4 linked regions of the Drosophila melanogaster genome follow. The protein of the gene in region 4 purifies or fractionates together with the protein of the main gene of each other region. This does not show direct contact. Each region holds a gene or a part of one and is shown on either strand. Other genes may lie near its edges. The genes, in order: Pcl, Pc, pho and esc.

Region 1 (9,142 bases), on a different chromosome or scaffold from region 4:
GTCTCATAAAACACAATCCAAAATTAGGAATGCAGTTTTTTTTTCTTTTAAAAATGAGCGTAGACTTTTAGAAAATGATTTTTTGGCACTGCACAGATATTAGCGTATGCTCCGAAAACCGAATCCCATCTTTGTAATTCCCCACTGTGCGAACTTACCTAAATCAGAGAATAAAGCGATGAGGCTGCAAGTCGACACTCCGAGAAGTGCTTGAGTACTTCTTTTCGTTCTCGATGGAAATCGGCACTACAGAGATTGAAGAATTTTTTAAGTTTTTTTTTTGTGTTTTTGTTTTTACGAAATAGACCACATTCAAGGATGGCTGAGGATAATTTTTTTTTTCTTTTTCCCGTTTTGAACGTCTGGTGCATGTGCCCTATCTGGCGATCGAGTACCTAATGAAGCGGTGTGAGGCGTCGGTGCCTGACAAGCTTCAAAGCGAAGTGTCACTTTGGGCGCCTACTGGCGTGTCCTGAGTAAAATCTTAAAAGATTTGACATTTCGGAAACATTTATTTGGGCATTATATACTTCATTAAACATATTTCGATCTGGTTTGGCCAAACATTTACTTGGCTTGAGAATTAGTTTGCTTTCAACTCAATTTTGATTTTTCGTAGCATTTAATAGTTAAACATAAAACGTACTGGCTTAATTCATTATTGTGTAGTTTTGCCTAGACTATGGGTGAAAATTATTGAACTAGTCCTACATTTTATTAAATTTGTGTGTATGTATGTATATCAATTGTTTTTTTTTTGTATGCATGACATGATTTGTGAGTTTTCCCATTTGAAGGTATATTTTTCAAAAACATACATGGGCGTGGCGTATCGCTAAAGTACAGTACTGAACTTAACTGAATTGTTCTCATTATTTAATACGTTTTCATTCATCAGCGAATTTTACATAGGCTTCCAGATTAATCTTGTAATACTTTTACCAATTTTGTGAAAACTTATTTATGTTCTGCTGCAACACTTAACTGCCATTGCACAATTATAACCTGTATTCAGTTGCTTTTTGCTTTTTTTTCGTTTTTTTTTTTTACAATTTAACATTTTATCGCTTTAATGCTGAACCAATATTTTGAACAATCTTTTTCTATTTTGGCAGTGGGTTGGTAATAAACTTTTAAACATTAACAAATAAAGAGGCCCGTAGTTGGCAGCGTTCATTAATACATAATAACGAAAAGAAATGATAATGGAAATGAAGAATATAAAATTCATAATGAGTCGGTATGCCAAAGGGTTCAATTTCCAAGCAATCCAATCGCCGTTGTCGCTGTATCTCCGCCCCACTCCACCAGGTACTGGACCTGTCCATTTCCCATGCGCCGCTTGGCCCGAATGGCAAAGGGCTCACCAGCATCTATGCGATTCATAGCGCCACCAAAGTACTTGTTCACCGACTGCTTCAAGTCCAGCATGGAATGTCCTGGGGCTCCAATGCCGTTGCTGCTGCTGCTGGTTGCCGTCGAGCTGGTGGAGTTCCGGCGGCTTTGGCTGGGTGACTGCTTCTGTGGTCGCTGGCGCAACAGGCGCCCATGTGTCGGCTTTCCCATTGGCGGCGCGGGTGGCTGCAGATCTTTGGCATAGATAGGAAGGTAGTGGCTGGGTATGGGATTGATGGTGGTGGTGCTGATGACCTATTAAGTGGAAACGAAAAAAACATCTCAAACATTATAGTTACATTGTTGTTAGTTAAACTCTTACCTCAATGGCCGTGGTCAGGCGGCGAGTGCGTCGTCTGCGCACTTCCTGATTGGGCCCTATCGTAATGTCTTTGGCACTCAGTCTTCGCTTGATGGTGCGCACCATGCGCGGCTGCTCCTTGGAGGTGCCCTTAAGCTTGAAAATGCTGTTTATGATGCCATTTACTCCGACTCCAGTTCCCACAGAAATACTTCGTCCCTGCGACGCCTTTTTGGGAGTGGCCATAAGGAATGGATTGTTGCGTCCCAAAAAGTTGACCGGCGGTGGTATGATGAGGTCCAACGAACTGGTTCCCCGACTGCTGCTTGAATTCTCGTCGGATGATAGATCACAGTGATTGCGGCTGTTGTCATAGCGTTTGGACAATCGGAAAGCCTTGCGCTTCCGACTGCTGTTTGCGTCCAGCAGAGGTGGAATGGGAGCTGGTAGTTTGCCGGGATCGCCATCGTTGGCATTGTCGTCGGCGAGGTCCGGCTTCAGTGGCAACTCATCATGCTTATCGGCCTTCTGAGCGGCCTGCTTTTTGGCCTTCTCAATAATCTGTTTGATGGGTATTTCGTCCTCGCTGGTCTCGACTGGGTCATCTTCATCTGTATTAAACTCATACACATCTTTGGGAACTCTTTTCGGAAGCTCGTTGGCACCTTCATCAGGCTCCTCGGGCATGAGCATTAGTTTAAATCTTTTTTCGAGCAGCTCATCGGACAGCTCCTCGTGGGGCTCAAGGAATACCTTGGGAATGTGTGGCGGGCCACTGTGTCTCAGTGCATAGAAGGCCGGAGCCCTTTTAAACTCCCTGCCGCAAACAAATCTGTCAGAGTAATCCTTAAGGGTTTGCTTGAGACGCTCCATCAGTGCCGTTTCGGGCAGTGTGCGCCACTTCTCGCAGATAGGCAGCTGGTGGCGCTGCTCGAGTATGAAGGGCCAAATGTCATTTAGCAGGTGATGGTACTTCTGGTGCTGATGCTTTCGCAGATTGTATAGTGCAATGTGGAGCACATCCACCCATTCGATTTGCATACGACGAACGAATTCTATGCCATTGTTGCAGACCGTGCAGCAGAAAACAAAGAACCTAGACAATGAGATTCATTTCAGTTTAGATCACAGTAAAGCAATTGAATACGTACATATCGCCGCGCAGCAGCTTCTTCTTGAAGTTCTGCATGCATTGGGTGTGGAACCAGTTCCGACATTTGCAGCACTGCAGCATATTGTGATCGAATTTTCCCGGTTTGCCGCAGTAGCAGTAGATCTGCTCTTCGTTGACCCGATGCTTCTCATCCCAGCTGAGCTTATCCGCCTGTGGGTAAAACCGGATTAAGAATCTAATCCGCTGGCTTGGGTTCGTAGAATACTCACATGGTAGGGCAACTGGCGACAAATTCCCGCTGGTTTTGTGATCTTATGGCTGACAGGCTGTTGCATTTTCATGGGTTTAGCGCAGCGTTTGCAACTCCAAATTCCACTGCCAGTAACAATTTCAACGGTGCAACCACGATGGTAGCCACGTCCGCAGCGCTCGCAAATTTCGACCACATCTTCGATATCCGATCGCTTGCAGGCCACGCACATGGGTCCACTGGGGGAGGTATTCGTGGATTCCGTGGTAGAGGCACCGCCTCCGCCAGCGGTAATCGAGCTACCGCCACCTAGCTTGCGCAGCTTATCCGGTTCACACCATTGCTCCGACTGGTCATCAAAGCGGATAAGATATTGATCGCTTGTCTGGTCAATAATGGTGCCCAGGTAAAATCTGCCATCGTTGCATTTGATGAAGACGTCCTCCTGAAGCGCATACGTGACCGCTGGCGAGGGAGCGGCAACTGGTGGTGCCGGCGGCGGTGGTGGTGGTGATGGAGGTGTTGGCGGCGTTGGCGGTGCTGCTTCGACGGTCTTGAAGCTTGGCTTCATTGAGTTGACGCCTTTGAGCAGCGATTGCGTGGCTAGTAGCGGAGGCGAGGGCGAACTTTTACCGGGTGAACTCATGGCCTCCGGCGTAGTTGGCGGTGTCTGTGGCGTTGTGGTCGTAGAATCCGGCTCATCCACAATCACAACTGCTGCTGAGGTGGTCGCGGTACCACTATAACTGCTGCTGGATACAGAACTGCTGCTGCAGCTGCTGCTATCCGCCGTGCTGCTGTCGATGAGGGGCAGGATGGCCTTGTGCTGGATGGCCGGTATGATGGGCGAAGGTTGTTGGGCCGTGGTAAGCGATGAACTTAGCGAAGTGGGCGTCTCCGTATAGTGGTTATTGATGCAAATGTTTATGCGGTCTAACACGACGGTGGAGGGCGGTGAGGTGGAATTGGTCACAGGCACCAGCGGCGGCGGCTGCAGTTGCTTGCCAGTTCCGCTGGCCGCCAGTAGATTGATTTGTCCCGCAGTTTGGCCACCGCCACTGGGCAAGTAGTACGACTGAACGGGAGCATATGTGGAGTGCGCTTCCTGTGGCGGCTTATTCAGACTGTATACACTTGGCGCCGTCGAGATGATTCGTATGTTGTTGGCCTTGAATGGGCTGCAGCTTGTTGCCGCCTGTTGCTTCGGTGGCGTTGATTGCTGAGCGAAACTGTTCGTGATCTGGATGGTGCTGGGATGTGTGGGATGCGTGGTCTGCGGCCCAGTGGTGGCATAGTATCGCTTGGCCACCGTGGCAGGTCCTACGCTGGGCGGCAGGATCTGGTAGGTGGTCGTCATCCACTGCGGCTGCTGGCCAGCTGGCTGTGCTAAGTAGCCGTAGGTGGCCGGAGGAGCTGATGGGACAGCGGTACTCGGCTGTTGCATGAACGGATGTGCCACGTTCTGCGGTGGATGATCGTGTTGCAAGTGAAAATGGTTGTTCATCATTGCGGCTGTGTGTGCGTGCTAGATGCGTTGATTTTTCCAGTGCGCAGTCTTTTGTGAAAAATATGGATCTTCAGTTCGATTTGCCGGCTTTTCGCGGCCCGTTTTTTCATTGATTTTGCGATTGTTTCCCGCTGATTAACACGAGCTCATTAATCTGGCGCCTTTTTCGTCGAATTTGTTGTTGCCCGCCGACACATACATGCACACTTTTGCTACACATACGGACTGGAGAGCGGGCCCTTTTGTATTCTCTGTGTCTTCCTCATTCGTACTTTTCCACACGCACCACAGGCACTTCTAGTTTCGGTTGCCGATTTACCCACCTTTAAGTGTGTTTCGAATCGTGCATTAAATTAGCATTTTGCTCTTATTGATTCGGCTATCGGCTTTGAACGTCGTTGTCCCAAGTTCATCTTTAACACCAGCGAAAATGCACAAAACAAATCACTTGAAAATTAATTTGTGTCAGCCATTTTTCAACATATGCCCACCAGTGTGACCGCATCCAACAATTGTTCTTTTCGTTACATTTTCATATATAAATCTACCACAACTTATGTATGTTATGGTAATAAAATTAACTTGATTAAAATAAATAAAGAAATATTGGAAATTTGTCACCACAATTTTACATTTTTATATTTTTAAATATATCGAAACGTATAAAATATACCATAAATTTACTTAATTATCCCCACTGTGCCGGCAAAGACTCAGCGGTCTCGTCCTGGAAAATACTAGAAAATACATTTAAATATTTCCTAAAGATTCAAAAACGTTAATATCATACATAATTTACATTTTAAATGTAGAGTGACAATTATTAAATCAAATTAAAAAAAATAAAACTAACATTTATATTAAGGTAAAACTTTTTGATTGTCAAAGTAAATCCTATAGAAATTTCAAAATGAATGTTAATTTTTTTAGTAAGTATGCCCTTTGTATGCTTTTATGTACAACTTATCTAAAATCAAACCAACTAATTTTAATTTTAACTCATAATTATCTTAAAGATATCAAATAGAAAATACCAAATACTAAAATCCCTATCCTTTGGTCTGCCGTATTAAAATCGACAGTTGCCTATCAATTAATGTTATGGGTACACATATCAATACTAGCTTTAAAAACAAATAACAGAATTTGATAAGTTTTTAGTATAATGATCATCTAGTAATTGGGGTCAATTATATGAATACGAAGTTGCGCGCCAGAAAATACTAGATAAAAACCAGAGGACCAAGCAGACAGCTAGCAATGGTATATATAGCAGCGAACTTTAGTTCGATAGGTTTTTACCAAATTGGTCACGCTGCGAACAGAAGCAATTTTACTTGACGGAGGTTTCATTAAATTTTCACTTGTGAATAAAACGCGAAAAAGCACTTAAAAACCGAAGAACTGTGTAAAACAAAAGCGGTACGCCAAGAAAGTGAAGTGTAATAACTAAACTAAACAAGTAAAACGCGAGTTTTTCACTTCGCGAAAGGTTTGTGAGCTGCAAAATTGTTAAGGTAAGTAGGTTGAGCAGGAGAAGAAGAACTGGAGCTCCATTTGTGCAAGTTGGTGGCTCGAATGACGCACTTGGCTGCAACCGAAAACATTCGATTCGATCAGAGCTGCAACTTTCACATCAAAATTGTACCCATATGTACATTTTACATATGTATGGTGTACCTGGACACGCACACTGATTCCCGCACCCATACACACACTTAAACACACACACATACAGCGGCGTGGAAAAGTGAACTGTAAACTGGAAAAAAAGCGTTTGTGTTGGTGTTGGTGTGCAGTGAATTCATTGAGTAGTACTCCTTTCCAGGCTGCTGGTCACTTTATGTCCAGGTCGCGTTCATCCGCTAAAGCCGTGCAGTTCAAGCACGAATCGGAGGAAGAGGAAGAAGACGAGGAGGAGCAGCTGCCTTCCAGGAGAATGCACTCTTACGGAGACGCCGCGGCCATCGGAAGCGGGGTGCCGGCCTTTTTGGCCAAATTGTGGCGCCTGGTGGACGATGCCGATACCAATCGCTTGATTTGCTGGACCAAGGTAAGCCTACGCCGCCATATTGTTTATTTACCTTTCCAGGGACTCCCCTCCCACCACATACCGCTAATCAGCATGGCAACAACAATGACTTGGCCATGCAGGTGTCTCAAGCTCTCTTTGTAGCGTTTCGCTCTCTGTTTTGTTGTTGCCCATGCCGCATCGCACGTATGCAAGTTGCCTTCCCCACACACTCATCTTGTTGTTGTTGTCGATGTTGCCATTTGCATGCGTACGTGCGTGAACTCTGGAAAATTTTCCATCTCCAACTGACAATCGAATAATTTCCCTTGGTCATTCAGTTGGCTTTTCATTTAAGATAAGAGTAATTGGTTCTCACTTAGGTTACCACACACTCTTAACGAAGAGTTTATTGATAAGCATAGCCTACCATTTTTTGTCGACAACATATACTCATTAATATGTGAGTATGAGCGTAACATAATCTAATTTTCAAATCCAATATTTTTAGCGTGTTTCACGCATAAAAATCTCACAAAAATTTGAATTTTAAATGAAAAAGTTGACAAATTTTATAAAATACGAATTTTTTTAAAACGATCATTTTATACATTATATAAGAACACTAGTTCCAGCTTTGGCTCGTAACTATAGTTTTGCATCTATAGATATAATTACAATTAGCTAATTATTTTCGTTGCTTATCGGTTTTGGTTTGCGGCCAACCGCTAATAGGTTTGTGGCAACTACATATCAGCACAACTCTCATATCGCTTCCGTTTTTCGTTTTATTTTTGCAGGATGGCCAAAGTTTCGTTATACAAAATCAAGCGCAATTCGCCAAGGAACTATTGCCACTAAACTACAAGCACAACAACATGGCCAGCTTCATAAGGCAATTGAATATGTGTAAGTAAATGAAACATCGTTGAAACATCAACTGAAAACTAAAAAAAATTTGTGCTTTGCAGATGGATTCCACAAGATCACCTCTATTGACAATGGCGGACTACGTTTTGATCGCGACGAGATTGAATTTTCGCACCCATTTTTTAAGCGCAACTCGCCTTTTCTACTTGACCAAATCAAAAGGAAAATATCGAACAACAAAAATGGTGACGACAAAGGTGTCCTGAAGCCGGAGGCCATGTCGAAGATTCTCACCGATGTGAAAGTCATGCGGGGTCGTCAGGACAATCTGGATTCGCGCTTCTCCGCCATGAAACAGGAGAACGAAGTGCTGTGGCGCGAGATAGCCAGCCTGCGCCAAAAGCACGCTAAGCAGCAACAAATAGTCAACAAACTGATCCAGTTCCTCATTACCATTGTGCAACCGTCGCGCAACATGTCTGGCGTGAAACGCCACGTGCAGCTGATGATCAACAATACGCCGGAAATTGATCGTGCACGGACCACCAGTGAGACCGAGAGCGAGAGTGGCGGCGGACCGGTTATCCACGAGCTTAGGGAGGAGCTTCTTGATGAGGTGATGAATCCATCACCGGCTGGCTACACCGCAGCCTCACATTATGACCAAGAGAGCGTCTCTCCGCCTGCCGTTGAGCGTCCGCGATCTAACATGAGCATTAGCTCGCACAACGTCGATTATTCGAATCAGAGTGTGGAGGACTTGCTGCTCCAGGGAAATGGAACCGCTGGCGGTAATATTCTAGTAGGCGGAGCCGCTTCTCCCATGGCCCAAAGTGTGAGTCAATCGCCGGCCCAACATGATGTCTACACAGTCACCGAGGCGCCCGATTCTCATGTCCAGGAGGTGCCAAACAGTCCGCCTTATTACGAGGAGCAGAATGTGCTTACCACGCCCATGGTGCGGGAGCAGGAGCAGCAGAAGCGTCAGCAGCTTAAGGAGAACAACAAGCTACGACGACAGGCAGGAGATGTTATACTTGATGCTGGAGATATTCTCGTAGATAGTTCGTCGCCCAAGGCGCAACGGACAAGCATCCAGCATAGTACGCAACCTGATGTGATGGTCCAGCCAATGATTATAAAGTCTGAGCCGGAGAACAGTTCCGGACTGATGGATCTAATGACTCCCGCGAACGATCTGTACAGTGTTAACTTCATCAGTGAGGATATGCCGACGGATATTTTTGAAGTAAGATACATTTTAAACATCTTATGGTAGTTGCTAACTCTTTTCTCTTAACTCTTTAGGACGCTCTGCTTCCCGACGGCGTGGAAGAGGCAGCCAAACTGGACCAGCAACAAAAATTTGGGCAATCGACAGTGAGCAGCGGCAAGTTTGCCAGCAACTTCGATGTGCCCACCAACAGTACGCTGCTGGATGCCAATCAGGCCTCGACATCGAAGGCAGCGGCCAAGGCGCAAGCATCTGAGGAAGAGGGCATGGCTGTGGCCAAATACAGTGGCGCTGAGAACGGAAACAACCGCGATACCAACAACAGTCAACTCCTCAGGATGGCCTCAGTGTTAGTAGACCAGAAGAATACGAATTCAAGTCGGATAAGCCATAATCAAGCGGCTAATTCTTACTGTTGCAGTGACGAACTCCACGGGCACTTGGAAAGCATGCAAGATGA
Region 2 (8,494 bases), on a different chromosome or scaffold from region 4:
CTGTGCGGGTTTCATGCAGCAGGCAGCGCTACGGATTCGCCCACAATCGCAAGTTTAAGGCCAAGTGAGTTCCACAGCTTGGGCACCACGCTCGAACTTCTGCAACTCGAACCAACATCTGTCAACATGCGAGAGTTCCATTCTGTATTTAAGTTGGCATATCATTAAATTCACGGGTTAGGCTACCAAGTACTTTGCATTGCTTTGATGTTGCTTTTACCGAGAAAGTAGTTTATAAAACGGTAATCCTTTGGTTCGAGTTACAGCATATGGAGCTAGAGTAGTTTCTACTTACAAACTGTGGTACTGCAGTATTCAAAACTCACCGTAAGCGCAATGCCCACTGTGGCGGAAAAGGAACCCAGTCGGAACTCGCCCGTATTGTATTTGACCAGGAAGGAGGTCTTTCCCACGCCCGAATCCCCCAGCAGGATCGTCTTGTGGTTAACCGTATCATCGAAGGGCTGCTGATGGGCGTTGGACGGGGCTGGGTGCATGTCCACTTCATCGTAGCGATACGATCGCCAACCATCGTTATAGTCATCGTCGTAGTCATCCGTTCCGTACGCATACATCTGCATTGCCTCGCGGGAGGGACGATAGCCAGGATATCCGGTGGCCGAGCGCTGAACGGGCGCCATGATAGCATCGTCGTGGTAGTGATGGCTGCCCGTCAAACTCAGCTGGCTGTGGTGGTGGTGGTGATGGTGGTGGGATGGTTGGTGGTGCGAGGATTGGTGGTGATGCGAAGGATTGTGATGTTGTTGCTGCTGCTGTGTCGTTGTCGTCGTTATCGAGGCGGAAACTGAGGCGGGCGCTGCGGGGGGATTGTAGGAGCCATCGCCAAAGGGCCGGCGACGCAGCTCCTCGATCCTGGCCTGGGTGGTCTCCGCATCCTCGAAGACGTCGTCGCTCATGCTGCTGGCGTCGTCGGGATGCGCTGATCCCGCTGGCGGTCCTCCCGCCCCGGGGTCACCTTCGCCGCCTCCCAGTCCCACCGCTGTGCTGGCCATTGGTTTCGATTTTATTGGATTGTGTCTTGGCCAAAAGTTGTGCTGACGCTTTTATCCTGAGCTTTCACTTTCTCATTGGTTTAGATTCGGGATTTGCTCTGAGCTTTATCTAGGCTTTCCCCTAATTAACTCCGAAACTGTCTCTTTTATTTGCGCATATTGAATAGAATTGTGTCACATTATCATCGACCCCTCTTCTGAGGATTTGTATGACCTCCTATTGCGGCGTTCCTTTCTCTTTTCTTTTTATAAACTCTTTTTTTAGGCAAAACGACTGATAAATACAAGCTATTCCATTGTCCTGTTTGCGTTAATATATGGCCGTAATGCTCAATCTACTGGTTAAAAAATAACCGGAAGTTTTCGTTAAGCTGTGTCTCTCTTTTGTTACTTTCTCTTTGCGATTTTGACACTTGGCATTGCTTCTCCCAATATAACTGTAACTGGCTAGCTTTTATCGCCTCTCATAGTTTTGACGTTTTCTCTGAGCTTTCTCTCATCGGCATTTCCGAGTTTTCTCTTTATGACTTTGACATTTACCGTTGTCCGTCGCTCCCGTCCGGTTGTGTGGCACGTTTTTCTGAATGAATCCGCTATTCGGGGCTTTCGCCTGGAGATGGGGTGGTTTGCCGTTGCTATTATTATTTCCTATATGCTATAAGCTTAATATTTTCGCCAGCCTTATCAGTTGGCCAGTTTTCCTAATCGCTATTCGTTAGTTTTTCGCTCCGTACAATTGAACTAGGTATTGGTTTTTCCCCTTTTTTGTTCGGTTGTTTGGTTGCTTGGTGTTTTGTTTGAAGCCACTAATTAAATATCATCTATGTAAATTGTAACTAGCTAAACATATTGACTAATATTTTATAGGTTATGCGCTAATTGGTGCTGTTTTCACTATGAATTAAACATTAATCTATTTATAGGGTTCGCAACAATTTGCTTGGTGTTTTTCTTTATGTTTTGGTTAAAGCTTTTGGTTAATTTCTCGTTTTCGTCGTTAAGTGTGAAGATTCTCCATGCGTTTCGCGTCCCTCGTCGAAAATATTGCGATTGATTTCAAGGGAATGGGTGTTATTTCAGTTGTTGGTCTTGGTGTTGTTGTTATTTCACTATCACAGCATAAATAAAATAATGTCATCGTCGTTGCCGCCCCCGCCACGCGAACCCTCGGCCAACATACAACTGGCATAAAATATCTGCAGTCGGCCACTTCCTTTCACATCCATCCTGAGCTTTCGGCGCTCTTGTGCTTTCTCACACTCTCTCCCGCACTTTCTCTCCCTCTTGAGGATGTGGCATTTGAAGAGTTCGAAGAGGGTAACTAGTTCAGTTGTAATCAAGTTAATTATCAAACTTAATTGAATAGGAATATGGGGCGAAGTATATGTGGCAATTTGTGATACAATAAGTGAAGCAGGACAAAGGAAAATCAAAACTCAATATGGGATGAAAGCAACACAACGATAAACGTTAACGAAAGTATAATATTTCGTTACCTGGAATTCAATTCAACATGCAGTTTAAAAAGAATACTGTACAAAGGATTCATTAAAAATGCGCTTATTAAAATTTGATTAAAAGCTATTTTATATTTAAGCTAATTGGTTTAACTTCTCGCCGGTTTAGTAATTTGTAGAAACGATAAAAGAAAATAGTGTATAAGGCAACAGCGCCAAAAAAATGTTTTCTAAAACATTTATATACCCCATTTATAAATAATAGAAAAATGTCAAGAAATTCTGAAAATATTTTAACAAAACATTTACATTTTAAAAACGCACAATTAGGTGTGTCTAGTCATCAAAGTTTTGAGTCTTTGCTAATTTTGCCAGGAAAGGGTGTGCGACACGGCTACTTGCTAAGATATGATCCCAGTTCTTTGTAGCACGGTAACTCTGCACCTCGCAGCACTATCGATTGTTTACATGAAAATAATCGAGTCGGACGACTATCGACGTACGCAGAATTGTAAACCAGAAGTTAATTGCAAATAAAACGAATAATAAAACGTTCCGAGAAGATTATTAATTAAAAATGACTGGTCGAGGCAAGGGGAGTAAGGGGAAGTTGGGGCGCGACAATGCGACCGACGATCCAGTCGATCTAGTGTACGCGGCTGAGAAAATCATCCAAAAGCGCGTTAAGAAGGTGAGATGAGCGTAAACAAATTCGAAAAAGGCGACCAAAACGGGATGCTCCGCTAAAAATGGCAAATGCAATATGCGCAGCACACGCAGGATATATGTATAGTCCACAAGGTCACATGTCCTTCGACATTTTTTGGCCAGAGGACATCTGCTGCTGCAACCACCATTTGCACGATGCATGTGTGTGTGCGTAGTGCGTTCGTATGTGTGTGTGTGTGTATGTGAGGCGTGTTTTTGTTTCGCTGAATGGAAAATCAATTAGTTGTCTAAGAAAATGCAATCCACCCCCACTCCTTCACTTACTCGATTTTCCAGGGCGTCGTGGAGTACCGTGTCAAGTGGAAGGGCTGGAACCAGCGCTACAACACCTGGGAACCGGAGGTAAACATCCTGGATCGCCGCCTCATCGACATCTACGAACAAACGAACAAATCCTCCGGAACTCCCTCCAAGCGAGGCATTAAGAAGAAGGAGAAAGAACCCGATCCGGAGCCGGAATCCGAGGAGGATGAGTACACCTTCACCGAAAACGATGTGGACACGCATCAAGCCACCACCTCATCGGCTACCCACGATAAGGAGTCGAAGAAGGAGAAGAAGCACCATCACCACCACCACCATCATCACCACATCAAGTCCGAACGCAACAGTGGACGGCGCTCGGAATCTCCGCTGACCCACCATCATCATCACCACCACCACGAGTCCAAGCGTCAGCGCATTGATCACAGCTCCTCCTCGAACAGCAGCTTCACGCACAACTCATTTGTCCCCGAGCCGGACAGCAACTCCTCCAGCTCCGAGGATCAGCCGCTGATCGGCACCAAACGCAAAGCCGAGGTGCTCAAGGAATCGGGCAAGATTGGAGTTACGATTAAGACCTCCCCAGATGGCCCCACTATTAAGCCTCAGCCGACCCAGCAGGTAACTCCCAGCCAGCAGCAGCCCTTCCAGGATCAGCAGCAAGCGGAAAAGATTGCCAGCGAGGCTGCAACGCAGCTGAAATCTGAGCAGCAGGCCACCCCACTGGCCACAGAAGCCATAAACACAACGCCCGCAGAGTCCGGAGCTGAGGAAGAAGAAGTAGCCAACGAGGAAGGCAACCAACAGGCGCCACAGGTTCCTTCCGAGAACAATAACATACCAAAACCGTGCAACAACCTGGCTATCAACCAGAAACAGCCGCTTACTCCTCTTTCGCCGCGTGCCCTTCCGCCGCGCTTCTGGCTGCCGGCCAAATGCAACATATCCAACCGGGTGGTGATCACAGACGTCACCGTAAACCTGGAGACCGTTACCATACGCGAGTGCAAGACGGAGCGCGGGTTTTTTCGTGAGCGCGACATGAAAGGCGATTCGTCGCCAGTAGCTTGAGCTTCGACCCAAACAAATGTCGGGAAAACAAACCGGAAAACTGATACAATTGTAAATAGACAAACCAAAATGCGAGAAAGTTGAGAGAAGAATTATGCAGAGAAATCCACACTAAATGTTGCTAAGCATTTTCTCTTTAGGACTTAACTAATTTATTGTATTTATTTTTAGCGTAGGTTTTAGTTTGTTGTTTTATTACAATGTTTAATGTGCAAGAGTAGTTTAAGCAAGCGCAAGTCGGGTATTTACTAAATGACTTTATATATACATAAATTTTCGCTCATTTTTTTTATCAGCATTGCAATGATTGAATATTTTCCTATTTAAATTAAAAATTTATTTTTCTGCAATATCACTTTTTAAGATTAATCTGGTTGTCATTTAGTGAATAGGCGAAATGCTGCGGCTGCTTAACTTGCCAATGCAATAGATTGTAAAACTTGCAGCGTAGATAAATATGTATGTACATGTTACATATATTTACCACATATTGTATATTTTTTATAACACTTTGAATCTGATTGAAAACAACACAAGACACTCAAATGCTAAGAAAACTCCATGCGAAACCGAAGCAATTGTTGATTACGCTTACAAATATATACAATAGAAGATGCATATATTCGAGTAGTCACCACCACGTTTGCCGAGTTGGCTATCCCAATGTTGTAATTGTTTAATATTATATTTCCTCGCGCCGACTGATTTTACAAAAGAAAACCCCAAAAACATATATACAATTGTAGATTTACAAATATTTTTAGACTTTAGCTAACCAAAATCTCTACGTAATATTTATTTTAACATGTTCTCTTAGCAGTCATTCAAGACTCAAGTGCTGCCTTTATGGGTTCAGAGCGGTGCAGTGCACAGATAATTCCAAATCGAGCCCATAGACTCATTACTTAAATCCTATGTCTATTTCACAATTTTTTTTCACGCTATGAAACAGAAAACTACGTGGGAGCTGCGGGGAATTTACAAACTCCTGCTTATTTCCCATGGGTCCTGTGCGTATGTTTCTATTTGTCTTAGCTCTTTATTGGCTAGTTTTAGTTACGGCGTAAATTCCACACAAAACAGCAATTCAAAGCGTATATTTTAAGCTTTTTAATATAGTTGTAAAGTCCCAAATGAGAAGACTTTACTCGTTGAGTTTTTGTAAGAAACTGATTTTATTTGGAATTATCTTCGGTTTAAATAGGTGACATGAGAATCGCATCTTAAAGTAAATGGCCTACGCAGAGGCCTAAGTAAATAGTCCCCGCCTTATCGAGGTCCCACGCTCGGGCACATCTGCCTATCTTGAGCGGCGAGGACCTTATCTGTGGTCTCCCACTAAGGGACTATTTTAGGAGGCGGGGAACGATCTCAAGTGACTGACTCATGTAGTGTGCACTTAAATTACATGTTTTTGAGCAATGCACCCATGTCGCCTTAGATAACAAAATCCTAAATATAATTTATCGCTCTCGATTCATTTACATAAGATATGAACGGAGCCCAAAATTGTAAGTCTTTAAATATATTCGTGTTCATGTGTGAACATTCTGCCAAAGGGCCAGCAAGCTGAGATGTACATTAGTATATTAGTTGCATTTATAACAGTAGTGGACTGTATTTATTTGATATATGTTCATTTATTTTGCAACTAAGATTTCAATGGGCCTAGTTTTTCTGGCTTTTAATTTTATTGGATTACAATTATGGTTTATATTATTTTTAATTCAACAATTTGTACTCAATTAACTTATTTTAAACATTTTGCTTTTTCTATGTAGAAGTACATTTTCTATTAGTGGACTGTATATTTTTATTTGTTATATTATTTTATTGTTTATTTACTATTGATATTTATAGTACTGGCAACGGACCTGCAAAGGTTATTGCTTGCATTCTTTGTTGCACAGCACATTTCCGTATGAAATATATTATTAATACTATCATTAGTATTAAAGCAATAATTAATCCAGCATGTCCGGAAATATGATGGAAATGTAAATCTTTCAATTTTTGATGGTTCTCTTTCATAAATTTAATTTCATTATTCAATCGTTCAAATTCCTCAGTATGATTTAATATTGATAGTTTCAGCGGATCCCAAATAATCTTCGGCACTCCACTAACTTCTCCTATATAAGGTGTTGATAATAATTCTTCACTTTCGGACTGAATGTTATGGTGGGCAACTAGAATTTTATCGTCGGTTCTTGCCGTACAATATGGCGCAATGCTTAAAACTCCTTGCTGAGGCAAATCAAACAATTCAATTTGAGAGCCAGTACATTGCAGACGGACTTTTGAATTCGCAGGAACCTTAAACAACCAACTACTTTTCTTTTCTAACTCTACCCAGTAACTTTTAGAGTCGACTACTGTTTTATAGATGCAGTTCGCCGCTTTATCTGGCTTTAGAGGCTGAATCTCACATGCATTATCATTCGCTGAATTCCAGGGCCAACTTCCTTTGCATATTCTCTTATTTAGTTGCCATTTCTGACATTGATTTAATGTGGCTTCCGTCATTATGTGATAGGAATCTATCTCAAAATTATAAATTAAATATTCGGACGTTGTATGCACCATTATTATCCGATCTTCATTTCGAATTGGCACCGGAATAAGCCTGAACAATTTGGATGGATGCTGCTAAACAGAGGCACTTTTGCACTAATGATCAATTTATCGTCGATGAATAAACCCCTGGCTGTTAACAGTGTATACACCTCCTTAAGTTCCGTACCTGACCGTTTTCCTGGAATTACTAGGTTCTCCGAAAGACTCTGCTGAATTTTGGCAATTTCTTTTTTAAGCTGATTTGGCCTGAGAATATTTGTATTTAGCCTACCGTGATTAATATCAATCAACAGGCTTATAATGCCTGCTTGAATTTTTTCGCCTTCTTCAATCAATGAGTGTAGCTGTTTCGTAATCATAAAGAATTTTATTGATTCCTTATAAACATAATAATTTTCTTTAAGAACTTCTGTCATGTTCTCAATTCTTATTTGCATACTTCTAAAATTGGAGTTAACATCTTCTGTTGTTCTCTTTAATAGATTAGAAGTTGAATCAACCACAGATGTTTGTTTTTGAATTAGTTTATCAAGGTTGTTCTGGTTATCTAACAAATTCTTCATATTTTCTTCTAATTGCTCTCTATCATCTTCATCCATTATACCAAATAAAATATGATACAAGGAACCCATAAATTCGAAAGGAGCACGCTTGCTTCTAGATCTAGACTGTATCATAAACAATTTATTGTTTTCTTCAAGTTCCGATAACTGACTTTGCATATTATCTAAAACTAGACTACATTGCTCTTCAAAGCTATGAAGTCTTTCGCAAACTTTCCTCATACTTTGTATAAGCGCATTACCCTTTGTTAACATTTTAAAATATGGATCCATTTTATAATAGATAACCAAATTCCAAGAAGTACTCACAATCTCAACATCTCCTAGCGGGTCTAGATATATTGCTGAGGTTTTATTTATTCTGTCTATAGAATATCTTGGTGCTATATCTTTAGGTAATGCGCTAGAAACTTGACAACTTAACACAAACAACAACATTGCCATAATGATTCCGATCTTGGACATTCCCGATGTCGCTCTAGTTCGTCTTTTTGGCTCTTGGTCAGCCTCATTTTTGTCAACAGACTTTATTCCTTCCAAGGGACAAATTTTAGTAATGGGTCTAGTGATATATCCTTCCTGCATCTTTACTTTAGCCACTCGGACCTTATCATCATTCCCCTTATGCACCTTTTCCACCTTTCCTAAAGGCCATCTTGCAGGATGACAATTCTCATCCTTTAATAAAACTATTTGCCCTTCTTCTATATTAGGAATTTCCTTTTTCCATTTATTCCTTTGCTGGAGCGTATGCAAATATTCACTTTTCCACTTAACCCAGAAATCTTTCTTCATTTTTTGGATAAGTCTCCACCTATCC
Region 3 (8,046 bases), on a different chromosome or scaffold from region 4:
ATTATACTCCTTACTCGTTACGTAGAGTAAAAGGGTATTCTAGATTTGTTGTAACAGGTAGAAGAAACCGTTTTCGCATAAAAGTATAAAGTATATATATTCTTGATCAGGATCAATAGCCGAGTCGAGGTGTCAGGAACAATAAAAGCTAGAAGGTTGAGATTAAGCATACAGATTCTAGAGACATTGACGGAAACAAAAATGTTTCGCATTTTTTCGTCTGGCCAATTTCCATCGGTATACAAAAAACAATTTGGCTACGCCCACTCTTACGTCCACAAACCTCCCACAACTGCCACGCCCACTTTTGAACACTTAAAATTTTTTCTCATTTTATTCACCAATATCTATCGATATCCTATAAAAATTATAAAACTTTGCGTTCACAGTTCCACCAGCTGAGTAACGGGTATCTGGTAGTAGGGTTTATGTAAAAATAAAGAAAATATTAAAATAAATAAAATAAAAATAAAAAAATAAATTTGAATTCGCCGTTTGGATAATATGCTCTAGGAATTTTTTCTTGTTATAGACCTAATCCAACGTTGAGCCCTCGTGATATTGATAAATGGGAACATCAAATATCTATAAGTTGTCAAAAGCACATTATATTTATAGAATGTCCTTAAAATTATTAATATTTAAACGTATGGTTCTATATTGCACCCGCAAATCTGACTTGTGTGCAAAACGTTAAGAAGTGAGTACGTAATACACACATATGTGTACAATCCCGAGAAAAAACGTTGTATTTTTTTATTTTTTAGCGTTTCTCTTTACATGAAAATTTTTTTTACGCTCTAGTTCCAACTCTACACCTCCCGCGCAACCAAACGAAGGGCGCTGCCGAATATCGTATGGCTCGATTTGCGAGAGGATAGATGACATATAAGAAACAATAAAATTCAAAGATCCATATAAATAATAGTAAGATATATTTAAAAAATCTGAATTGGTCGGCTTAATAGCTGCAGGACTAGAATAAAGTCTTTTATAGTCAGAACATTATGCTCTGTAGGGGTCTAGTAGGATCTACAATGATTTAAATTATATATAAATGCCTAATAAATCTGCTTGGAACAGAGAACTTTCCGACTAAAAACTGTTCCGAACATCGTTCTACGGTTAGCTAACCGTTGGGAAAGTAAATTAATTAACTATACTCGAATTAGGAGGTAATATAAGGTTTGAATAAATTAAGGCGTCGTAAGGCAAACAGTTTTATAAGCCGATCCATTGCGGTCCAAGTGAACTACATATTGTGGACTTCAAACAGACGATCCATACTAAGGATCGAACGGACTAGCGAAATTAATAAGGTTTCGGTTATATAAAGACCATCAAATTCCTTTGACCACCTTTTTATAAAACCAAGCATACCCCTATTGACAATAGATGAAATATGGTTTGAAAATTTAAGCTTAAGGTCCAGAACACCATGTGTTATTCTGTCCAAAAAGCACCCACCAATAGTATAAGTCACGTGTATTAGGTTGACTCGACAAAAGGTCATATATTTACACTTGGAGCCATTAATGTTTAGTTTATTTTCACGCCACTTTATTTGAAATCTATTTAGATCGGATTGTAGTACCAAATACCATGACTGGCGTTGTGGAAGCCATGGAGAAATAGTATGTTTTTAACTCCCGAATATATATATAGTATATAGTGACGTAATTAAATAATTAGAATTGTCCACAAAAAAAAAAGATCAATATCCCAAGCGGGCAATCTCGCACCGGAAATAATATAAACAAATGGGCAATATGTGACATATTCACATAATCAGCACTTTCAGAAGAAATACAGAGTGGCGATTCCACGCCATGTACGCTAGCTGTATACAATAAATATCTTAAGCGGGCGATCCCGCTCCAGAAATAATGTAAACATAGGCAGTATAAGAAAGATTTTTGTCACTAACATATAGTCTTAAGCTGAGATCAAAAGAATAAAGACGTGAAAACCATCTCTATGATAATTTTTTATTTCTTAGCGTTGACCTTAGTCAACTGAAATTAGTTAGACTCAAATATATAACAATTATTTTACTGTATGCATGTATGCATATAGTAATGCATATTAGTTTACTTTTCCATGAAAATGCATTAATTATATATGTAATTGTATTTGTTGTATAGAAGCAATTACTGGACCACCGGCGGATGAAAAGGTGGACGACAATACGCAGCCTCTTTATTGAAGCAATATTAAAAAAGAAAATAATAAATTTAATAGATGAATTCTTTTTTGTTTTTATTTAAAACGTCGATGTTTTTTCAACATATTTCGCCAAAAACATCGATGTCCGCCATCATCGATATTTCTCAATCTCTATTAACAGAGTCAAATCAAAGACATTAGAATAACATGATTGGTAACGACCATACGTTGGTTTAGCACAATGCAGTCACTTTTTTGGTGACGGTCAATATTGACATTCTCTGGTAATCGAATTCGTAAGAATTTTACTTTTGTCTGGGCGAAATTAAAAGTAAATGCCTGTTATACATACATATATCTATCAAATCAGATCTTATTAACTAAGGAAAAAATATTTTATTCAGTGGTCTATCGATGTTAATTCCAAATCACCACAAGATCATTCTGCCAATGCGTTATTATACAAAAAATGTATTTCCGACCCCACCTCAGATTTGACAAACAACATTTTGCCGTCAGCAACAAATATTTTCGATTTAGCAAGGGGATTAGCAAAGGAGAAGTACGTTCCCAATATTTATTGCGAAGGCTGCCATACTGTTGGTAAAACGAAACAGGCAGGTAAAAATACTTATAAAATATAAAAGAATTCATTAATGAATTTCAGGAATGGCCAAAAGAGTTGTATGTATTTAATTAAATGTATTTTTATTACTTAAATGTCAAAGTGCAATAACAAAGTAATTGCGAACGTCGGACTTAAAACTGTAAAAAAAGGTGTCCGCTCTATGGTCTGGAAAACAGCTTGAACAGCTGTTTAATGTTTACAAAACATTCCGATAGCAAAAATTTTGCGAAAACCAAAACAGCTAAAAACGAAATCAAAAGATTTTGCCCAAATCGAAATAAAAAATAAAAATTACAGGAGCATGATTGACTATAAATTATCGCTGTGCATGCTTGGCATCTCTTACATCAGCACAAAACACAAGGATTGGCAGAATTGGCGCTTTTTCAAATCTACAGCAGAACACAAGATCAGTAGAGATGTTGAACCATCGGTGCCTGATCCCACGCAGTAGAAACTTTCCCCTTTCGTTTAACAGTTGCCTCTTTTAAATCTGTTCCAGTCTCATGTTAAGCTTTGTTAACGATGGGAAATTGGTTATAGCATGATTGCACTCGTTTTCCGAAATGAGGATGATTCCATTTCCACATTTTCGAAATGTATTTGTGGACCGTATCATATGAACTTTATTTATCACTAAAACTAATAGAAAAATATACACATTCTTTGATAGGATTTTCTTTAAGCATATGAAAAATTTAATTCATATCGGTTTACAAATTTGTAGTATTATTTAATTTTATGTTTTGCATGTATATTTCAAGCTATACCGATATAATTACAGAGATTACAGCCAGCTTGTTCTATATTTAGAAGCTAGTCGACGTGGAATCAAGATATATTTTGCGTTGTAAAAAAATACTAAAGTTTAGTATGTTGCAAAAAACCCAAATATTTAGGCATCGAATACCCATGCCAAACAAGCAGAATAACCTTTTCAATATTTTGAGTCATTTGGTATCGCGTTTTATAAAAATTACTTGAATTCTTTTGTTTTCCTCGGCTTTTAGTGAAACAATTCGACTATCATTAAATTTATGTGGCGTTTAATTAATCTTTCGTATTATTTCAATCAGAATTTTTTTAACATATTCACTACATTTTCTTAGAGAACCGTTTGTCATATTTAATGTATATTATGTTCCCTACTTAAATATGACAATTATTAATTCTGTGTGTGTACGTATCAATCATCCGTGATATTATATTCATGTCTTATATTGCCTACATATGGAATAATGGCAGTAAAAATGCTGTTCTTTCAGATACATCAAATAGCCTCAGGGAATGCAACGCTCAGGAAACATACAAATCTTACCTAACACATGTGCCTACAATTATCCTGGCATTTGAAATGCTTTAATACTAACTTTAAACTCATGCGTATGTGGATTATAGTATTGTAAATATGGCATACGAACGTTTTGGAATTATTCTTCAAAGTGAACAGTACGATGAAGATATAGGCAACACAAAAGTCAATCAGAAAATGAATGAAGGTAAGTTCGGATTTTACAGGCATGTCTATGTTTTGAAAATCGAATTATAGCAACAAAGCACTTTTTTATAAAGCGTAACAACAAAATACTGTTTAATGAAGCATAAAATATAAACATATTTACTTGTTATACCCGTTAGTCCTAGAGTAAAAGGGTATACTAGATTCGTTGAAAAGTATGTAGAAGGAATCGACCACAGTATTCTTACTCATGATCACTAGCGCCAAGTCGATCTGCCCGTATAAACGTTGAGATCTCGGGAACTAAATAAAAGATGTGAAAGTTAAGATAAAGCATGCACATTCTAGAGAAAATTACCACTTCTACTCCAACGCCCACAAACCTTCAAAAACTGTCAAAACTAAAATTTTAATATTGTTTAAGCCGCCATACTAACATTTTTAAGCCAAGCCCAGATCGTTAATGTCAGCTTTTAAGCGCCTTGGCATCGAAGAAATGAAGTATCATCAGATTGTTCAGTAATATGTTAGGTTAAGGTTTTTCCAAAGGAGGCAAGACTCGGAAGACTATCACTCAAAACACAGTGTTGACGGGTGTGAGGCTAATCCTCATCTCTCGTGAGTTACCTGTAATGGCGGAGACGCCGGGTACCCATGTAAGCGTTAGTTTGGGTGTGCTGTAGACGTTCAAGTTCAATAATGGTGTTGCTCACAGGCACGCTCTTGCTAGTGTTCGCTTGAAATGTTAATATGCCGCATGACTGTCCACAATCAAAGCTGTTATTCTGATTCCCATCTGACTCACATCGTTCTTTAATTGCTAAACTGCAGAGTCCTTATACCCTTGTGAGCGTTAGTTTAGTGTGCCGTAGATCTCCCAGTTCCATGATGGTGTTGCGCACAAGACCCGTTACCTTTTCGCTTTTGGCTTAAAGATTTAAAGAATATTATATGGATATGTACGGATTTGCGGATATCCTAATGTGCTTTTGAAGACATAGAATTTTAATTTAAAGTATTTTTAATTAGCTGCGCAAATAATTTTGTATAGAGAATATAGTAGCTAATTTGGTTGAAAATTTATCACGCTATATAAGTATTCTTAAACTCGCAAAGTAAAAGGGGTTTCGAAAAACAATGGCAACCGAAGGAAGCGTTCCCGACCCTATAAAGTATATATATTTTTGATCCAGTGAACTACCCAAGTCGAACTGGATATGTCTGGCAGTATGAATGTCGAGATCTCAGGAACTAAATAAGCTAGAAAGTTGAGATTAAGCATGCAGATTTCAGAGACAAATCCGCTCAAGACTGCTATTTGATTATTTTTCTCCACTAGTTGCGTAATGGGTATCTGATAGTCGGAGAACTCGAACATTTTCTCTCCTTTGTTCATAGATTTAAATATCAACATGCTGTGCATGCTTGCTTACACTGATATAATCGCCTTTACCCGAAATTGTCTGCCTGTACTTGTTCAATATTTATAAAGTATTAATTACGTTATAAAGTATATACATTATATACACTTTTTGTCCGTTTCTAGGTAAACTAGTTTCCAAATTTGAAAGAATTATTTCTTTAGAGGATCAATATACAGCTGAATTCATTGAAATATTTTCCCTGATCCCTCCCTCTCTTTCGTGAGCGACTTTTATTTTACTTTTGTAGAATGGACATTTACTTTTTTATGGTGTTTATTAGAATAGAGTTGTCTGATGTTGTTTAACGAAATAAAAATTAAAAAGTGAATTTGATTAAGTTGATTTGCATATTTAAAAGGACAATGCAATAAATAAAATTTTAAAGAGCCCAGAAACGAGGAAATAAATAAAACAACAAAGTATAAGTGTAATATTAGTAAGATCTAATTATGTGTTAAAAAAGTTATAATTGATTGCTGTAAGAGCGGCAGAGAGTAAAGATTACAGATAATAGGATTACGTCTATTATAGTCAGAACATAACATGAACATACAGAATGATTTAAGATTAAGGGTATGTAGTTTCTAGTGAATATACTTGGAACAGAGAAGTTTCGCCGAAAAACCAGGTCGGGACTACTCGTATCGTACTACTCGTAAACTTACTAATAAAGACTGTTCCAAGCATCGTTCTACGGTTAGCTAGGGAGGGTAACTGAATTAGAATTAGTCTACTGGAATGAGGAATAGGACCCACAAGGCAAACATTAAGAATTTTTTTTGGACCCATTCAATGATGCCCAGTCTCTGCCTAGCCTTCGTTGCATACGGACGATCGCGATAGTCTAGTCTGTTTGTTGTAACACATCAACAACTCTTCCAATCGTACTGTGCACGCGCACAATTTCTATTTCTATCCAATGCACAGCAGTGGTGACAGACAATTACGTTACTTATCATAGATAAGCTCAACCAAGCCGACGCTTTGTAAGCCCCTCAATTGTTATCTCTCGAGCTTGCGAAGTTGACAACTAGTAGTAACACCAATGTTACCAACACCATAACCACCCAAGCTAGCTGTTCGCAGGCAAGAAGTGCTGCAATGTCTGAGATGCCATATTTTTGGGCGTTCCAAAAACTATTGTCTCCGGGGTTCAATCTGTGGCAAGCGTGCTGGGCCCCACGCAACTGGCTCTACGCTATGCACGAGGGATAATTATTTGTGTATCAACTGCGGTGGTGATCATGCTGTAACTGACAAAAACTGTCCTGTCAGAATTGGAAATAACCCAAGGCTCCCTACTTTTGTTGCTCATGGCAACACTGTCAGCTCTGAAAAAGGTGAAAGCTTTACTCACGGATTCATTCCGGCTGAGGCCATCAGAAGCAATATTTCAACCGCCGATATTGTACAGGCCAAAGGCCCTAAATTTGGTTCACTTGCGACTCACCAACACCACAGTGATCCAAACTCACCACAAGACTTAGGCTTTGGAAAAAAGTTTCGCTGGAAAGCGCCATCCAGGATATAAACTCGAGAATGGACAAAATCTTCAAACTAATTGAGGAGACTGTAGAATCAAAAAAGGTTTTTAGAGAACTGGTTCAGATCTTCATATCACGGACGTCAAAATGACCCAACCAATAATAAAAATCGGATTGTGGAACGCACGAGAACTAGCTAGAAACTCTGAGGAGCTTCAGCTTTTCCTTAGGATGCAAAATATTGATATCATGCTTGCCACCGAAACAAACGTGCGGGAAGGACAGCGTATCTCTCTACGTGGTTACTCCACCTACGACGCCAGTGGAAACAGCAGAGGTGGAGCCACTGTCATAGTGCACTCTTCCTTGAATCATTGTCCCCAACCCCCAATCTCAACCAACGACCGGCAGGTAGCGAGCGTGCAGCTGCAGACCTCAGAGGGAACAGTTACTTACCCACCCAGCGAGCGGTTGATAAAAGCTTATATTGAGTAACTTTTTGTAACACTTGGTGGCATATTTATGCAGGTGGAGACTACAATGCAAAACATCATTGGTGGGGAATCTCAAGAGCCTGCGCCAGAGGCTTGAGGCAAACAAGATGCGTAACGCCATACGATTTTTTGGCACATGGCTCTAGAGGTGGCTCCAGGCTCTCTCGAATTTTTGTTAGAGAGCGAGAGAGCGAAGAGCGCTACAGCGAACAGCTCTTTTCAACGCACAAAGTGATAGCAGACATCTGTATGTGTGCACACTATGCTCATGCATTGTAAATTTGACAAAATATGCCCTTCACCTCAGAAGTTCTTAGACGTTATATCTATATTATTTTTGATCAAATGGCACCATGCGAAAAATTCTTGTTTTGCATTGCCTTAACGTTAT
Region 4 (4,543 bases):
GTGAACAGTGAAATTCTTGAAGGTTCAACTTTAGAACATGATTGACAGATATTTTATTTAGAGTAAGGCAATCTTCGTGGGAAAAGTCCAATCCACTGCCCCTACTAAACCCAAAAGCTTTATCACAATCTCTCAACTGATGTTCTATTTATATATTCTTTCTTTCTATTGCCAAAACTATTTACCTAAAACCAAAAAAAAAAAAAAACATGAAAACTAAATGAAAACTTTTGCACAAAACACACAAACAATCCGAATGCTATGCAACGTCAAATCAACGTGGTGTCTCGTTGCCCAAAAATTGCCCATTTGCATTTTCGCTGTTACTCACTGCCAACTGCTGGGCGCCGAAAAACTTGACCGCCTTGGCACTCGAAACTGGCGCCCAACGTATGCCGGCCATTTACTTCTGCAGGGAGGGCTGCAATGGGAATTGCAAGAACCTGAACTGCAGTCGCCATAGCCACGGACGCGATGACCAGCAGCAGGACAACAACAACTCCAATAGGAGTTGCAGCCTGCAGGAGGCGTCGCCTGGGGGAGCAGGTGCAGGTGTCACACCAGGCGCTGACAACCAGGACAGCATAGAGAGTCGCACCAAGGGCGTTTCCCAGGCGCCGCAGACCCACAGTGGCCCAACGGGTCCACCATCCAACACCTCGAGCGAAACTATCGCACAACCTGCCCCTAAGCTTCAACCCGCCCTGGAAACCGTAAGGGAATCGGTGATGGAAGAAAGTCCTTCGAAGGATCCCGGCGACAAGGGACCACCGCCGCCCGCCAGCACATCCACATTGACATCCCAAACCACCACCTCCTCCAGCGCAACCGCGGAGCCAAGTGCCAAGGCGGCCGAGAGTCAAGCGGGAAGTGCCGGCAGCAGTGGCAGTTGCAGTAACCCAGCGGCGGTGCATCGGCAACGCCGCCTAAGGACACCCACCTGGGCCAGGTCCATGTCGACGAACAAAACGTACTTGAAATTTGATTTCTATGCTAGACTAACGTTTATCCGTTACGCCTCTTCAGTTCGTTCGATTTGCCTTTATCGTTTCACGTTTGCGTTAACCAACCAACAACCACACAGCTCCAGAATGAACTACTTTCTATATATACACACATAACTCTATGAACTCTGTCTCTCTATCTCTCCTTTATCCAATCTATCCATCTGTCTGCTGACCTCTGTCTGCGATTTCCACTGCTGTAATCTTCTGTCTAGCCTCTGTCCCCTACCCCAAATCTTTTGCTCGCTTCTGTTGTAAATAACTATTTTATCCTAGACTAATCAAAAAAAAAAAAAGAAAAAAGGACACTTGTTTCGTTCCCCAGCCGCGCTCAGCGGGATTGTAAATGTTTCGTTGCCGCGTTTGGACAAAAAATTGCTTACTACGTTTAAATACTCCGTGCAACTATTAAATCAAACTTACATTCATACGTAGTAAGCACTTGAAGGAGTGAGAACTGGAAGATATACTTTAAATGTATTCAAAACTGCTTAAAGTATTTGTATGATACATTTGCATTTCTGAGAAACTATATCTTCCACTTTTGACGCCACTCGCAAGCAGCAACTCTCCTAGTCTTGTCGACCAGTGTAATTTTGTGAATACATGTACAAAGTTTGAATACCGCACATGAATCCATGGCATGTTGATTGTCCTACATTTGTTTGTTTTCTATATTAAAAAACTAGCTTGCGCATGTGTTTTGTCGTTTTTGAACTTTTTTTAACTTTCCCGCCTAAGTGTGTTAAATACCGTTTAATGTTTACCAACACTGGCCAGCCGATCGTGACCAGGTGGCCACGCTGCGCAATGGTAAGACCGTACTGCCTGCAATGCCTGGGTATTTTACGCGATCCGTGACTGGGGTCACACCATTGCCGCCAAAAAAAAACATTTTCATTCGCCTCGTTATTTAAACATTTAAAAAAAGCATTATCGAATAGTTCATTGAAGTCGCGGCCTAATTTGGGTTTCATTTAACCGTACAAACGTGCCGCGCGTTCGAAATGAGCAGTGATAAAGTGAAAAACGGCAACGAGCCCGAGGAGTCGGAGGAATCATGCGGCGTGAGTAGCGAATGACAAATGGCTGTGCGAACCGAGAATTAATGGATCTTTTGGGCCATGTGCCGGCTGCAGGATGAGTCGGCCAGCTATACCACCAACAGCACCACCTCGCGCAGCAAGTCCCCGTCATCCAGCACGCGCAGCAAGCGCCGCGGTCGCCGGAGCACCAAATCGAAGCCAAAAAGTCGCGCCGCCTACAAATACGAGTAAGAATATGCACTTTCTCAGCTGGCCACTGATACTGAACCTACAAATGATTACCATGAAGCACCCACGTGAAGGAGAACCACGGAGCCAACATCTTCGGCGTAGCCTTCAACACGCTGCTGGGCAAGGATGAGCCACAGGTCTTCGCTACGGCGGGCAGCAACCGGGTGACCGTCTACGAGTGCCCTCGACAGGGCGGGATGCAGCTGCTCCACTGCTATGCAGATCCGGATGTGAGTCGCCAGGATACAGAATACACTTTCAAGACCCTATTGATCAGTTGGCTAAAGTTAGGGGCTTCATACATTAGACATCGCATTCAAAGCTGTAGAAAAAGTGGGATCCAGTCAAAGTTTCTATTAAATCATTGCTTTTGTTAATTGTTTTAAAGTAAGAACAATCGTTACAGGCTTTCAGCATGGTTTCACAATATCCAAACATTTATCATTTCTTGTATTAAGTTTGGTTTTTCATAACAGTCAAGTTTTCAAATTAAAGCTTATATTGTTAATTTAGCCGAGAGTAACTGAGAATATGGTCGCAAATGTAATTGTACAAACTCGAAATACATCAACAAATCTTGAATTCCCTTCCCAGCCCGATGAAGTATTTTACACCTGCGCCTGGTCGTACGACCTTAAGACCTCTTCACCTCTCCTGGCCGCTGCTGGATACCGCGGAGTCATCCGGGTTATTGATGTCGAGCAGAATGAGGCGGTGGGCAACTACATTGGCCATGGACAGGCCATTAACGAGCTGAAGTTCCATCCGCACAAGCTACAGCTTTTGCTTTCGGGCAGCAAGGATCACGCGATAAGATTGTGGAACATCCAGAGCCATGTGTGCATTGCCATCCTGGGCGGAGTGGAGGGACATCGCGATGAGGTGCTGTCCATCGACTTTAATATGCGTGGAGATCGCATTGTGTCGAGCGGCATGGATCACTCGCTGAAGCTGTGGTGTCTGAATACGCCCGAGTTCCATCACAAGATCGAACTGTCGAACACTTTCAGCCAGGAGAAGTCAACGCTGCCTTTCCCCACGGTGACCAAGCACTTCCCCGATTTTTCAACGCGGGATATACACAGGAACTATGTGGACTGTGTGCAGTGGTTCGGCAACTTTGTGCTCTCCAAGTCCTGCGAAAATGCCATTGTCTGCTGGAAACCGGGACAACTACATCAGAGCTTCGAGCAGGTGAAGCCGAGCGACTCCTCCTGCACGATAATTGCGGAATTCGAGTACGACGAGTGCGAGATCTGGTTCGTGAGATTCGGCTTCAATCCGTGGCAGAAGGTGATTGCCCTGGGCAATCAGCAGGGCAAGGTGTATGTGTGGGAGCTGGATCCCAGCGATCCCGAGGGCGCACACATGACCACCCTGCACAATTCGCGTAGCGTGGCCACTGTGCGCCAGATAGCCTTCTCTCGCGATGCCAGCGTACTGGTCTACGTGTGCGATGACGCCACCGTGTGGCGATGGAACCGCAGACAAACAACTTCCATCTGATGGCGCAGCTGGGCGCAACCACAAACCAAATCTCACGTGGCCAAAACTTACAACATTTCCCTCAATTAGTTCCTAGTTGGTTAGCATTAAGATATAGAATTACGCTCCTGTGCTGTTCCAAATTATTTCAAGTAAATCCAATTAATAGTTGGATGAGATTTAAATATGTTAAGCCGGTTGCTTTTTAGATGTAAGAACGAATAGTTGTTGCTTACTCTGCTGCCTTTATTTATTGTAAATAAAGTGAGTACATTGTAATTTCACATGTATATAAGCAACATTGAAGATGTATTTTCTGCTTAACCAGAATCCAAACTGCTGCTCTTTAAGCCATGTAAACGTCTTCAAGCTGACTGAGTGTCCCCAGTTGGCAATTCTAATTGCGAAACAAAGCAAAGCTGCGCATAACAAATGGCTTTCAATTGCTACGTCATTTATATGCATTGCTGCAACGCCATCCAGCTCCAATCTGCTGGAAATGCGGCGAATAAGCGCGACGAAATTGAAACTGCCAACGGGCGTGCGAACCGGGATGAGTGGGAAACCAAGCCAGGCCAGGCGGACAGCGATCCCGACCAGCCATAACAGCTCCCAGCAGACTGATTAAGCGAGCAGAGTCCCACAATGATTTGCCATGCCCTAGCTGGATTTTTATCGAACGCTTCTCTCTCGTTTTGATGAAAGTGCAGGCCATTTCCATCATGGGTTTTTTTCTTTTTTGGGGGGTTGTATCTAATGGAAGTTTATGAAAATAGC

The links.
Region 1: the proteins of esc (region 4) and Pcl purify together in Drosophila melanogaster (affinity purification with western blotting; 4 studies listed by BioGRID, with this or other methods). This does not show direct contact.
Region 2: the proteins of esc (region 4) and Pc purify together in Drosophila melanogaster (affinity purification with western blotting; one study listed by BioGRID). This does not show direct contact.
Region 3: the proteins of esc (region 4) and pho purify together in Drosophila melanogaster (affinity purification with western blotting; 2 studies listed by BioGRID). This does not show direct contact.

What each region holds. Positions count from the first base shown.
Region 1 is NT_033778.4:18,131,349-18,140,490, reverse strand, and holds Pcl (polycomblike), read right to left. Parts: upstream 5,066-9,142; 5' UTR 4,568-5,065; coding exon 3,080-4,567; intron 3,021-3,079; coding exon 2,848-3,020; intron 2,793-2,847; coding exon 1,718-2,792; intron 1,651-1,717; coding exon 1,255-1,650; 3' UTR 501-1,254; downstream 1-500. Other genes in the region: Hsf (heat shock factor), read left to right, coding at 6,411-6,620, 7,379-7,487, 7,550-8,697, 8,757-9,142. UniProt on the Drosophila melanogaster protein: Polycomb group (PcG) protein.
Region 2 is NT_037436.4:21,312,464-21,320,957, reverse strand, and holds the start of Pc (polycomb), read left to right. Parts: upstream 1-2,937; 5' UTR 2,938-3,047; coding exon 3,048-3,161; intron 3,162-3,475; coding exon 3,476-4,534; 3' UTR 4,535-5,652; intron 5,653-8,494.
Region 3 is NC_004353.4:1,177,295-1,185,340, reverse strand, and holds the start of pho (pleiohomeotic), read left to right. Parts: upstream 1-3,712; 5' UTR 3,713-3,751; exon of another isoform or gene 3,752-3,973; intron 3,974-4,059; 5' UTR 4,060-4,202; coding exon 4,203-4,293; intron 4,294-8,046. UniProt on the Drosophila melanogaster protein: Polycomb group (PcG) protein that binds to the 5'-CNGCCATNNNNG-3' sequence found in the regulatory regions of many genes.
Region 4 is NT_033779.5:11,826,704-11,831,246, reverse strand, and holds esc (extra sexcombs), read left to right. Parts: upstream 1-1,841; 5' UTR 1,842-2,011; coding exon 2,012-2,071; intron 2,072-2,143; coding exon 2,144-2,277; intron 2,278-2,339; coding exon 2,340-2,511; intron 2,512-2,875; coding exon 2,876-3,787; 3' UTR 3,788-4,043; downstream 4,044-4,543. Other genes in the region: Pde1c (phosphodiesterase 1c), read left to right, coding at 416-970. UniProt on the Drosophila melanogaster protein: Polycomb group (PcG) protein.